Linked DNA regions of Drosophila melanogaster. The protein of the gene in region 2 purifies or fractionates together with the protein of the main gene of each other region. This does not show direct contact. Each region holds a gene or a part of one and is shown on either strand. Other genes may lie near its edges.

Region 1 (6,876 bases), on a different chromosome or scaffold from region 2:
TTTCTTGACTTACGGCAATAATTTCGCTTTCTATCACTGTGATGGTGGGAATTCTTAGGAGTCATGCTGGATTGCAGCTTTTCAATTTGTAGAGAATCGTTTTGTTATTCCTCTTGGGATGCGATGCTATATAAGCATTTTGGCAGGCTTCCCAGCTCAGTTGTCATTTTAGGCAAGCAGTTAATAAAATTAACTATGAGTATTGCGCAGAATGCGCAATCCATTCAGCTTGTGAGGGCATCTTCTAGTCAGGCACAGATTTTGGCCAATGTGAGTTGAAATACTATCACCACAATCGGGTATTCCACTAACATACATATGTGATCTGGATATTAAGGTAGCCGATAGTGTAGTCACTGAAGCGAGATCCTATAAGAACATTCCACTTCCCAGAAAACAGGAATTTGCAAGGGCATTTATGCCGGGTGGAGAATTTCACGATGCCTCAATTTTGGATTATGCAGCAGCGATGAGAAGTTGTTATGGTGATATCTTCATAATGCCTGGAATGTTTGGTCGCAAGGATTGAGTCACCACATTTAGTACAAAGAATATCGAGACTGTTTTCCGCAGTGAGGGAACTTGGCCGGAAAAGGATTTCTTTCCCTCGATCACATATTTCCATTTATGGAGAAAGTGTGGGTCTGATATTCGCGTAAGTTACCAAATAATTACATATGTATATCAAAAGCGGAAGTTAATTTGGAAACTATAATTTAAGGCAAGCAGCGTTGTGGGGCAAGATGCGATCAGCCGTCAATTCAATTTTTATGCAACCCAAAGGATTGAAAACTTATTATGAGTTCAACAACTAGTTCATTGAGCGCTAAGAATTAATTCATACTTGTATATTTCGATGTCCACCTGAGTTTTACTTTTTCTCCAACATTAAAGAAATTCGAGATGCTAGAACTCTGGAGATGCCGCCTGGTTTTCGAATCCCTTGGCTTGGTGGCTTTCGATCGCCCAATGGGTTTGATCAGTCGAAATCGAGACGATCCAGATGCATTGACTGTGTTCCAAAACACGAAGCACGATGTTCAGATATGCCTTTCAATTGAATATACAGCCATCAATGTGGAGATTTATCTCCACTCCAAACTTTCGGATGATGATGCGTCTTCTCGATGACATCTTAATGTTCTCACAGAAAATGATAAAGGACACCGAGGACTCTGTGGAAAAGCGGCGCCAGTAAATAAATAAAATAAAAAATAAATAAAATATCAGTATGCAAAGAGAACAAGGATCAACTCTAAGAATTGTTTTTATTTTTCTTTAATTTGGTTATTTATCTTGAAATTGTCTACCGTTGAACTAGAATCCTTATAAATTTTTAAAAAATATTTAAATATTTTAGATTTTTTTCTAGCGATCCCACTAAATGAGTAACGGGTATGTAATAGTCGTAATAGTAGTATCAAATTCTCTGAGGTGTATTTATTGTAAGTTCCAACGCTCTCAATTTGTTTTTCTAGCCAGTCACGTTCATTTGTTTATTTTTTCAGTTGAGTGAGGTAGGCAATTCACGGCGATTATACCGTTCAGCTGATAAGAAAATGAAACTCATGCTTTGTTTGCTGGCTTTTGTTTTTGTTTGAGATTTTTGCATTTTGAAGCATTTCAAGTTATTCGCTCTCCTCTCTTTTCTACGTTTTAGAGATAAGCCTTTGGTATAAGAACGTTCTCGAAAGTGGAACTGTTTTTAGTTGCAGTTGATCACCAAAAGGAATAGAATGAATACATTGAGCAGTGCGCGATCTGTGGCGATTTACGTGGGTCCCGTTCGATCTTCAAGATCAGCCTCCGTTTTGGCACATGAACAAGCTAAATCTAGTGTTAGTATGCACAAAATCCAGTCGAAATAGATTTATCATGTTATTAGTTTCCAATTATAGATAACGGAGGAGCACAAGACCTACGATGAGATTCCGCGGCCCAACAAATTCAAATTTATGAGGGCTTTCATGCCCGGTGGTGAATTCCAAAATGCATCGATTACGGAATACACCAGTGCCATGCGAAAGCGCTATGGAGATATCTATGTAATGCCCGGAATGTTTGGCCGCAAGGATTGGGTCACCACTTTCAACACAAAGGACATTGAGATGGTATTCCGCAACGAGGGTATCTGGCCACGTCGTGATGGCCTGGATTCCATTGTATATTTCCGCGAACACGTTCGACCAGATGTTTACGGTGAGGTTCAAGGATTGGTGGCTTCGTGAGTATAAAATCTAATAAGTAGCAAGGAAACAATTGAATTTGAATATTTCAGACAAAATGAGGCATGGGGAAAACTACGATCAGCCATTAATCCCATCTTTATGCAACCCAGGGGCTTGAGAATGTATTATGAACCATTGTCTAATATCAATAATGAGTTTATAGAGCGGTAAGAAATTTTTGTTATTGAATTGTTATTTATATATAGCAATAAATTCCATTTTACTGTGCAGCATTAAGGAAATCCGCGATCCAAAAACTCTAGAAGTCCCCGAAGATTTTACGGATGAAATAAGCCGGCTTGTTTTCGAGTCACTCGGCCTGGTGGCTTTCGATCGGCAAATGGGTCTGATTAGAAAAAACCGCGATAATTCCGATGCATTGACCCTCTTCCAGACCTCGAGGGATATTTTCCGTCTCACATTTAAGCTAGACATTCAGCCCTCCATGTGGAAGATCATATCGACGCCCACCTACAGGAAAATGAAGCGAACTCTCAATGACAGTTTGAATGTGGCCCAGAAAATGCTGAAGGAAAATCAGGATGCACTGGAAAAGCGCCGCCAGGCTGGCGAAAAAATAAATAGTAACAGTATGCTGGAGAGATTAATGGAGATCGATCCCAAGGTGGCGGTGATTATGAGTCTGGACATCCTATTCGCTGGTGTGGATGCCACAGCCACGCTTCTGTCGGCTGTTTTACTCTGCCTCTCAAAGCATCCGGATAAGCAGGCCAAACTGCGGGAGGAGCTCTTGAGCATCATGCCCACAAAGGATTCCCTACTCAACGAGGAGAACATGAAGGATATGCCATATTTGAGGGCTGTGATCAAGGAGACACTGCGATACTATCCCAATGGCTTGGGAACCATGAGAACCTGCCAAAATGATGTGATACTTTCGGGTTACCGGGTGCCCAAGGGAACGACTGTCCTGCTCGGCTCAAATGTGCTGATGAAGGAAGCTACATATTATCCACGACCAGATGAATTTCTGCCGGAGCGCTGGTTAAGGGATCCGGAGACCGGAAAGAAGATGCAGGTCAGCCCCTTCACGTTCCTTCCCTTTGGCTTTGGACCCCGCATGTGCATTGGCAAACGGGTGGTGGATCTGGAAATGGAGACCACAGTGGCCAAGTTGATTCGCAATTTCCATGTGGAGTTCAATCGGGATGCCAGCCGTCCATTCAAGACCATGTTCGTCATGGAACCGGCCATTACGTTCCCCTTCAAATTCACGGATATCGAACAATAATTTGCTTCTCATTTGTGGCCTTTACTTGTGTTCCTTATAGTTGCGATTTTTGATTACAGTAAATGTTTGACTGATGAAATGCAGATAAGAATTTTGCCTCCTCCTATTTCGCATTGTTGTGCAAACCTCGCTGTTTTGATAAGCAAAATGTTTAATACGTTTGATAAGATTGCGCTTTGTTGTGGCATCCCTATCGCTTTTTTTCGTATCAATTTGTTTTTTTCAACACAATTGCGAGGTGTGCTTTTCTTATATTTTTAGGTAACAAAGAAGAGACTATTGTAGGTTGTTATTTTTCTTGTTTTTCCCCCACACTTTGTATATTTAGGTGGTGGGTAGCGCTCACCAAAGACACTTTCAGCTGGAGCTTGCAGCTTGGCAGGCAGGTGAGAACGGGCTGCCGAGAGGATGTCCTTTGCCGCGCCACAAATACTTCTAACGGCAACAGCAAAATCAGGAGCAGCACCCAACATCAGGAGAGTAGCAAAGCGGCAAAAGCAGCAACAACAGACATATTCGCCTGCGGCCTGCGGAGTTATGCTAACTGGCACTCAAAGCAAAGCGCGGCCAAAAGCTCAGGTGGTTTGCCCTGTGCCACCTGCCACCTGCCACCTGCCCCCCTGGTCTTGTTCTTGTTTTTGCTGTTGCTGTGCCTGCCACTTGGCACTGGCAGCTTGTAACAATAATTTAAGCGATTTTGCGCTTTTTGCGAGTGGGTTAATGGCATGCTCAGGATCTAGGAAACGGGAAGTGGGAACTGTGAGCTGGGAGCCTGCAAGCGGGTATCCTTTGGCGTGGCGAAAATTCCACTTTTGTAGCAAACGCACATAGCTTATGAATTCCGCAATCCCCGATGCGGTGCAGCAGCAAAATGGTAGGGATGATGGACCGTGGGTCCTGGTCCAGTACAAAGTAAAAATGCAGAACATGTGTTTTTTCGGGGTGGCTGGATAACCTGGCTTATAGCAGCCATGGCCAGGGATCAGCTATATACATATACATATGGTCATGTACATCTCTTTGTGTCTGCTGTATATTAAAATTCAATTTTAAAACCGGCCACGCACAACCGGGCGTATGCGTAATGCGGCATGCAATCATTTGCGTGCGCCTTCGCTTGGAAATTCCTTTGCCATAACTAATCTCGAAGGCCAACCAAGACTAAGGCCAACCTAAGACTAAGGACCAGTCCTGACGTTTCATATTTCTAGCTCACCGCCCTGCCACCCAAGCTCAACCCGTTCCTTTGCCGCTCGTCTTTTATTTTATTTAATCTTTTTTCTTTTTTTTTTTTTGTGAAAAATTTCATACTCATCAAGTTGACAAAGAAAAAGTTTTTCATTATTACATTTCGCTGTCATTTGGGCGCAGAAATAGCTTGGAAAAGTTCTCGGAGTCCCGCTTTTCCTTCGCCGGCTGCCGGTTGAAACTCGAGTGCAGCGCGTAAATGAGTCACTCCCATTTTGAGTCGCCCGCCCGCAGCAGTCGGCGCTCATCATCAGATTTCCAAAAGGATAATGGTTTGGGTTGTGCTGGGCTGGGTTGGATTTGGTTAGGTTGTGGGGTGGTGGGGGGCAGTGGGAAAGGCACGGGCCCATTGCGTAGCTTGACGTAATTTTCTTGGCCTGCCTGACGAGTCGCATCCTTGCACATTAATCCATTGGTGTGCCTGGATCTCGGTAGTCGGAACCCCGGAACCCGGAACCCAGAGCTCGGATCTTGGTCCTTGCTGCACGCAAATGAGGGTATGGTCAAATCACTCACTGTCAGCCCGTGTCCCAAGGAATGCGTTCAGCATGTCCTTTAATTTTTTCTCCCTCTAAGACCAGTTTCATTCCCCTTTTCTGCACTTTGACAAAAAGCTGAGTCCTTAGCTTGCATAAGCAAAATGAATGAACCTATTTTTAAGTCATATACTTTTGAAAAGATACAAAATGGCCTTTGTTTAATTGAATAAATTTTTTTTGAAACTTTGAATGACATTATATATTTTTATTTAGTTGTTTTAAGCAATAATAAATTTGCACAAATTATTATTTAAATATGTTTGAATAGTTTAAAAACTTAATGATTTTTCAGTTTTTTCTTATTAGTAGGTCTTTAAATTTCTTTTGAGTCTCCTCAACATCATTCCATTGATTAGCAATTCGGATGACACTTTTCTTATTGTGCAGGCACTAGCATTTTCTATAACTTGACGTTTGCCCGCCTTGTCGTTGCCCGTCCATTTTCCATTTCCCATTTTCCGTTCGGCCAGCCCATCCCCACTCCCCCTGGCTTCTTTGTCCGGCTTGTACTTGTGTTGCCTCGCTTGCCGCTTTGCTGCCTGTCAGCGCGCAGCTTAAGATAAAAACTTTCCTTTCCACCCAAAAAAGGGGCCAAGGCGGCAACACCGGCCAGAAAAGGCTGAAAAAAAAGCAGGCAGAATGGCCTGCGAAAGGGTTGACTCTGACATTTAGCTTTCGCATATTTGCACACACCCCGCGTCCCCATCCACCGACAGTATATTTTATAGACTAAGGCGAAGACATGACAAATGCTCAAATAGAAATTCTTCAACAAGATTCTTGGCCGAAACTTAAGTTCATTTTTTGGTCGTGCACATCGCATGGGGGCTTTTGTAAGGGCCTCACCAGAAAGAATTCAAATTAAAATGCGATTGCTCTGGGGCTCACTCGATTTTCGTGTGTTTTCTGACACGGCCTGTCGATGGTTTTTGCATTTGTCTGCAAGGCTGAATTTAATACAGGACACTCTGCGCTTTCCGAATCACGAATTGGCTTCAAATTCAATCGATTGGTGGGGCATTCAAATATTAACAAAAATAGAAAAAAGGGTGTGCTTTTTGTAACAATTTGAAAATACTTTTATTTACTTAGGTAATTTAAGTAAATAAAACAATATACTAAAAGTGTGTAAGGCAGTTTCTGTTTTAGTGAATATATTACCTATAACTACATTTTATAAACCTGTGACAAAATCTACGTTATCCATTTAATGGCTATTAAATACTCCAAAACATTTTCCGCATCGATTTCCTTTAATATTCAAAATCATTTTCCGCTTTCACAGGAATAATATCAAACATATGACCGTGCAGCTGACGCTCAGATGTTTTCCCGCTTTCCACGCGGCCACTCGAACTTTTCATTCATCAGGCGCAGCGCACACGCATTGCCGAATTTGCACCAACACCAGTGCATCGGGGTCACCCAATTTCCACCCAAAACAGCCACCCACTCAGCCGAAGCAGTCGAATAACCCAGACACCCGCACAACTCACTCACCCATTCATATATTTTATGTTTTGTTTACATTGCCGGCTTGTGCAGCCCAAACAACAACTGATTCTATGGAAAAAGCGTTGGGAAAGCCTTGTGACGTCACCGGGAATGT
Region 2 (5,784 bases):
GTGCTGAATACGTTCGAAAACTATCGCAGCGACTTCGATAAGCTGTTCAAGGAGCGCGAGTTCAAGCCGCGCACCAGTCACTACATGAACATTGCCCACATGGACGTCATCGACATACTGAGCAAGAGCATTCACCAGCAGATGCTCAAGAAACTGGGCGAGGTCTACAGCAGTCGAAGCGTAAGTTTGGGGCGTCCTGGAGTGACACACATATCCATCCTAACATGTCCCGATTACCAGAACCACACGTCGCTGCTGGTGAACGGACTGCTCCCGCTGTGGATAGTGCGCCTCTTTATGGACACATACACGCTGTCCCAATCGGAGGCCGTGCAGCAGATCCGCGACCAGATGAAGTACAACACCTACTTGAGGGCCCTGAACGATGAGCCGCTGAGTTCCGATCTTGACTGATCGAGCAATCAATTCACTTTTTAACTATTTTTTGGTATCCGATTGCGGAAATTTTACATTGCGCGCCATATTAAATAGGCAGTTGTTTTAGTTTTAAATTCATTTGTCTTTATTTGTTTTGATTGGAATCTGTTGTGTACTAAGCATATTACATTGTATAAATACATAATTCACTTGCTTTCGAAAAAAGAAAACGCTTGAGCAACCAAGTGTGCTGGCTGAAATGGTGGAGTGCTCTCTGGGCGACTGGCGGTGATGACGGCGTGGGCGAAGGACTACGAAATTATTTTACTTAGAATCTAGCGTGTAATGTTGATGGAGTGCCCGCCCGGCCACCCGGTGGCGGTTTAAAACTCAGTCTGAACTTCACACTCTTATGTACAATCTATTTGGACAGTGGGTGAGGTGAAGTAGTTTACAGCTCGTCGTGCTGCTGCTCCTCCTCCTCATCATCGGCGTTGCCGCTCTCCTGGCTGCCGGTGGCGGTCTCCTCGGCATCATCCTCCTCCTCCTCGTCGAACTCCACCTGCTCGTCTTGGGAGACACCCAAGGTCTGGCGCATCATCTGCTCAATACTGTCGGCGAACTGCGAAGTCTCCTGGAGCATGTATCCAGACCGCAGGGTGGCGGTGCGGAACATCATCACAGCCATGTCCTTGGCGGTGTCATCGGCCTCGTCGGCCTCCACGCGGCGCAGCAGCTCGCGCATCAGCGGATGCCTGGGATTGATCTCGAGCGTTTTCTTCTGGTTGAGGTAGTAGGTGCGCTGAGGATCGTCGGACTTCTGGTGGGCGTTGGACATGGCCAGACGCTCCATGTTGCCGGTCCAGCCGAAGACGCCGGCCACGAGGGCGCATGGCGAGTTGCTCAGACGCTCGGAAACCTGGGCCTTGGAGATCTGATCCTTGAGTGCCACATCGTTCAGCCACTTGACCAGCGGCTCGAAGGTGCTCTTTAGCGACTCGAAGTTCTTCTTGCTCTTCTCGGACTCGTTCAGCTGGAATCCCTCCTTGGCCACGTTCTGGAACTTCTTGCCATCGAACTCGGGCAGCGCGGAGATGCAGTACTCGTCGACGGCCTCCACCAGATACAGCACCTCGTATCCCTTGCTCAGCAGACGCTCGACGAACGGCGACTTCTCGACCTCAGCGCGGTTGGCACCAGCGATGTAGTAGATGTGCTCCTGCTTGGCCTTCATGCGCTCCTTGTACTCCGCCAGCGAGGTGACGCCCTTGCCGTTGGAGGTCTGGAAGCGGAGCAGCTTGGCGAGACGCGATCGGTTGCTGGGATCCTCCATCACGCCCAATTTGATGCTGAAATGAGTCAATTAAGTCTTGATAAGCAACGAAAATCCAAGAATTCGAGGTTATAGCTAATGGAAATGCTTATTTAACTAAAATAAAATATTTAAGTATAAACTCTACACGTCACCAGTGCCAATATTATAATACTACGTGGATTTCCTTATCTTATCAGCGCGGAATTCTTTAAAGCAACAAACTAAATATATTAATTTGTTGGCAAAAAATAATACACGTCATTCTATTCTCCATATTATAATGGATTCTGCGGAAATGCTTATCATAAATAACTAATTATTTGAACAGGCAAAGAACGTTTCTTAATTCCTAGAAAGCGACACTTACTTGGTGGAGAACTCCTTCCAGAACTTCTCATACGCCTCCTTGTCGATCTTCTTCAGCATATCGAGAACCTTGCGGACCAGCTTCTTCTTGATCACCTTGATGAGCTTGTGCTGCTGCAGAGTTTCGCGGGAAACGTTCAGGGGCAGATCGTCGGAGTCGACGACGCCACGAATGAAGCTCAGGTAGTTGGGCATCATGTCGTTGAACTCGTCGGTGATGAAAACACGGCGCACGTACAGCTTAATGTTGTCGGACTTGGTGCCGTAGCGGTTGAAGGACTCCGATGGCTGCACCTTGGGCACGTAGAGCAAACTCTTGAAGGTCACCTCGCCCTCGGCGATGAAGTGCGTCTGGGTCAGGGGCTCGCTGGAGTCCTTGGTCAGGCTCTTGTAGAAGCTAGTGTACTCATCCTCGGTCACTTCGGCGGGCTTGCGCGTCCAGATGGGCTTGCTGTCGTTGATCAGGGTCCAGTCCCAGGTGGTCTTCGAAACCTTTTTGGTCTTGGGCTTCTCATCTTCGGCCTCCTCGACCTTGGCGTCCTCATCCTCCACGTCATCCTCGCTCTTCTCGGGCTTGGCCTCCTCCTCCACGGGCACCTCCTCCTCGACGGTCTTGCTGGACCACATGCGGATGGGGAAGTTGATGAACTGCGAGTACTTGCGGATGAGCTCGCGCACGGTGTCCTCCTCCAGGAAGTCCTGGGCTTCTTCCTTCAGATACAGCGAGATCACGGATCCTCGCTTCAGAGTATCGCCACGGGGATCCTCGGTGATGCTGAAGCTGTTGGCATCCGACTCCCAGATGTACTGTTTGTCGTCGTTGTGCTTGGTGGTCACCACTACACGATCGGCGACCAAGAAAGCGGAGTAAAAGCCCACACCGAACTGTCCAATCATGTCGTTCATATCGAGTCCCTCCGACTTGCTGGGATCCTGCATCTTGGCCAGAAAATCGGCAGTGCCGGACTTGGCAATTGTACCCAGGTTATTGATCAGATCCTGGTGAGTCATGCCGATACCCGAGTCCATGATGTGCAACGCCTTGTTCTCCTTGTCGGCCTTAATGCGGATGTGCAGCTCCGGATTCGTTTCCAGCTCCTTGCTGTTGGACAGAGCCAATAGGCGGATCTTGTCGATGGCATCGGAGGCGTTGGATATCAATTCACGCAGGAAGATCTCCTTGTTGCGGTAAAGCGAGTTGATAATCAGCTTCATCATGCGGTTGACCTCCGTTTGGAAAGTAAACTTCTTCGCCTGCACGCACAGACAAAAGACAAAGAAAAAAGGGAAAGGAAATCCCGGTCATACGTGTACCTTCCAAATGACCTGGCAATGAACCCACCTTCTCGCGAATTTCCTTCAGCTGCGCCACGTTCAGGCCGTCCAGCTGGATGGCCTCCTCCTCGCGCTTCAGGGTCTCGGCATCTGGGGGATTGGGAATTAGAAAAAGGGGGCGGTTATCGCAACGCTGACGTGTACCAAACAAAACTCGTCGTCGCGAGAGGGGGGCGTGTCTACGTACCGGTGCGGGAGCCCTCCTTGAAGGAGCCCAGATCAAGGTCGATGGTCTCCGTTGTGGCGGCCTCGTCATCGGCGGCTATTTGATTGATGCCTAATCAGACGCGAATCAGACGCCAATTAATAATTAGGTTAAAACACCGGTTCAATGCGGCGTGGCAAATGTGCACACTTACCTGCTAGGAGCAGCAGGCCCACCAGCAAAAAGTACTTCATGATCTTTGGTAGCTTGATTTACGGAGCTCGAGCTATCGGTTCGTCCGGCGAAAGGCCACGTCACGAATAACAGATGCAATAAATTAGTCCGCACTTGCGTCGCCTGCTTTGATTTTTTTTTACTGACGCCGACAAGCGGCTGGAAGGCCTTTAAATGCCTCGCAGAGTGACCGTATTCCGGCGCTGGAACATTCTAAGCGCATTGGAAGGAAATACCAGGGGCTGCACTGGAAATAGGATATATATACAGCACAGAGCACGAAAATAGTGTAATTTAAATAAATTTAATGTTTGCTTATTTGAAAGCCCATACATTCATAGAATCTATTTGGGATTTAGTTTACAAGAGGATGTAGTGTCAAAACTCTACTGTTAAATATATTTAATTTGATAATTTACATTCTTATATCAATAGTTTACAAAAGGGAACACTTAGGCCGGTAGATATATGATTTATATTTGAAACAAATTAGTATCTTTTCATGTATACAACAACTAAGCTTTAAAATAATAAATTCTTCGGTCGGTTGCACAACAACTTCGTGTATATACAATTTTTAAGCTGCCAAAATAGATAACTGAGAACTTATTGATATAGCAAAGTAATGATAAAAATATGAATTGAAATAAAATATAAATTCCTGACAGAGATCAAGGAAATCCATTTCGTTTTAGAATATATAACATATGATTTTGTACCGTTCGGTTTATTTTACAATGTTAAGTTAAATATTTTAATGTTGGTATTTTTATTTGCCATGGCGTTAAGGTTCCGCACCCACATGTGGGTGGACTTGTGCTGGTATTTTCACCCGAGCCATTTTGGTATTTTGCGACGTTCCCGCTGCGGTCACTCTGGGCACGAGGCTTGTTTATTGGGCGAAATTTAATGATTCGCTGTAATCATACAACATTTGCGTCAGTTGCCAAACACCGACCCAGCCAAAATTCCGCTTCGGCCACAAACCGACTCTTATATATTCATAAAACAACCGATCCGCAGCCGCCACTCCAGCAGCAGCAGCTTAGCCGCGAGCAACTAAACCAGAAATTGCTTCCTCGCGTGAATCGTTGAATCGGGGAATCGTCTCTATGTCGTCTGTATGCTAGTCGTGCAACAGCAGTGTCAATTAGCAGTTTCGCATAAGACCACCTCACGCGTACACTCTGCACCACCACCGCCACCGCCGCCGCCTCCGCCAGCAGCACCACCCCCCGAAATACACCCGCCCGTGCGTCCGTGAATCGTCGTGTTATCCGTGTTATACAACAAAATTGCACCAAAAGTGCCCGACATACGCCGGCCAAGAGTTGCCCGCTAACCAACGCCGATCCTCGACAGGCGGAGCGACCCGATCCCAGCGGAGAAAGCGGCTCTGCAGCAGCAACTGCAACAGCGACTTGGCAGAACTGGTCCGGATTAGCAGGTTGTCGTAAGAGGAGCAGCGACTGCAAGGGCGCAACCACAGCATTAGCACACAACACAGTCGATAGTGCAGCCCCACCAGCAGCCTCAACAATCGAAAGCGACGGCAACCGTTCGGATCCACCATGAACATCGACGACTACGAATCGCTGCCCACCACCAGTGTGGGTGTCAATATGACGGCGGGCGCAATTGCGGGCGTGCTGGAGCATGTGGTCATGTATCCGCTGGACTCCGTCAAGGTGAGAGAGACTGCATGGCCGCCTGGTAATCGGAGGAGCAGCGGCATGAACATAACACGACCTAACCTCACTATCAATCGGAATTTTGTGTGTGCCGCCGCTGCTTTGGCATAATCGTGATGTAATTGCCCACGTCTCGAGTGCAACCAAGAGTTGCGTTTCTCATTAAGAGCTCTGGGTGGTATAGCCACATATAGCCGCTCTGAACGCTTATCGTAGCACGTTCCATTGGTTTATGCTTCCGCGATAAGATTAGCCATAGTAATTGGACTAGCTCTTATCGGCGGAGCGTTCTCATCGTTCTTCTGAAAATTCGGTAGGGC

The links.
Region 1: the proteins of Gp93 (region 2) and Cyp12d1-p purify together in Drosophila melanogaster (affinity purification with mass spectrometry, with the first as the bait; one large-scale study listed by BioGRID). This does not show direct contact.

The regions. Positions count from the first base shown.
Region 1 is NT_033778.4:11,116,709-11,123,584, reverse strand, and holds Cyp12d1-p (cytochrome P450 12d1 proximal), read left to right. Parts: upstream 1-1,700; 5' UTR 1,701-1,736; coding exon 1,737-1,838; intron 1,839-1,898; coding exon 1,899-2,224; intron 2,225-2,278; coding exon 2,279-2,395; intron 2,396-2,459; coding exon 2,460-3,480; 3' UTR 3,481-6,360; downstream 6,361-6,876.
Region 2 is NT_033777.3:27,946,871-27,952,654, reverse strand, and holds Gp93 (glycoprotein 93), read right to left. Parts: upstream 3,945-5,784; 5' UTR 3,794-3,944; coding exon 3,754-3,793; intron 3,672-3,753; coding exon 3,582-3,671; intron 3,485-3,581; coding exon 3,402-3,484; intron 3,314-3,401; coding exon 2,061-3,313; intron 1,728-2,060; coding exon 830-1,727; 3' UTR 504-829; downstream 1-503. Other genes in the region: CG4951 (uncharacterized protein), read left to right, coding at 1-180, 241-414; mfrn (mitoferrin), read left to right, coding at 5,345-5,461.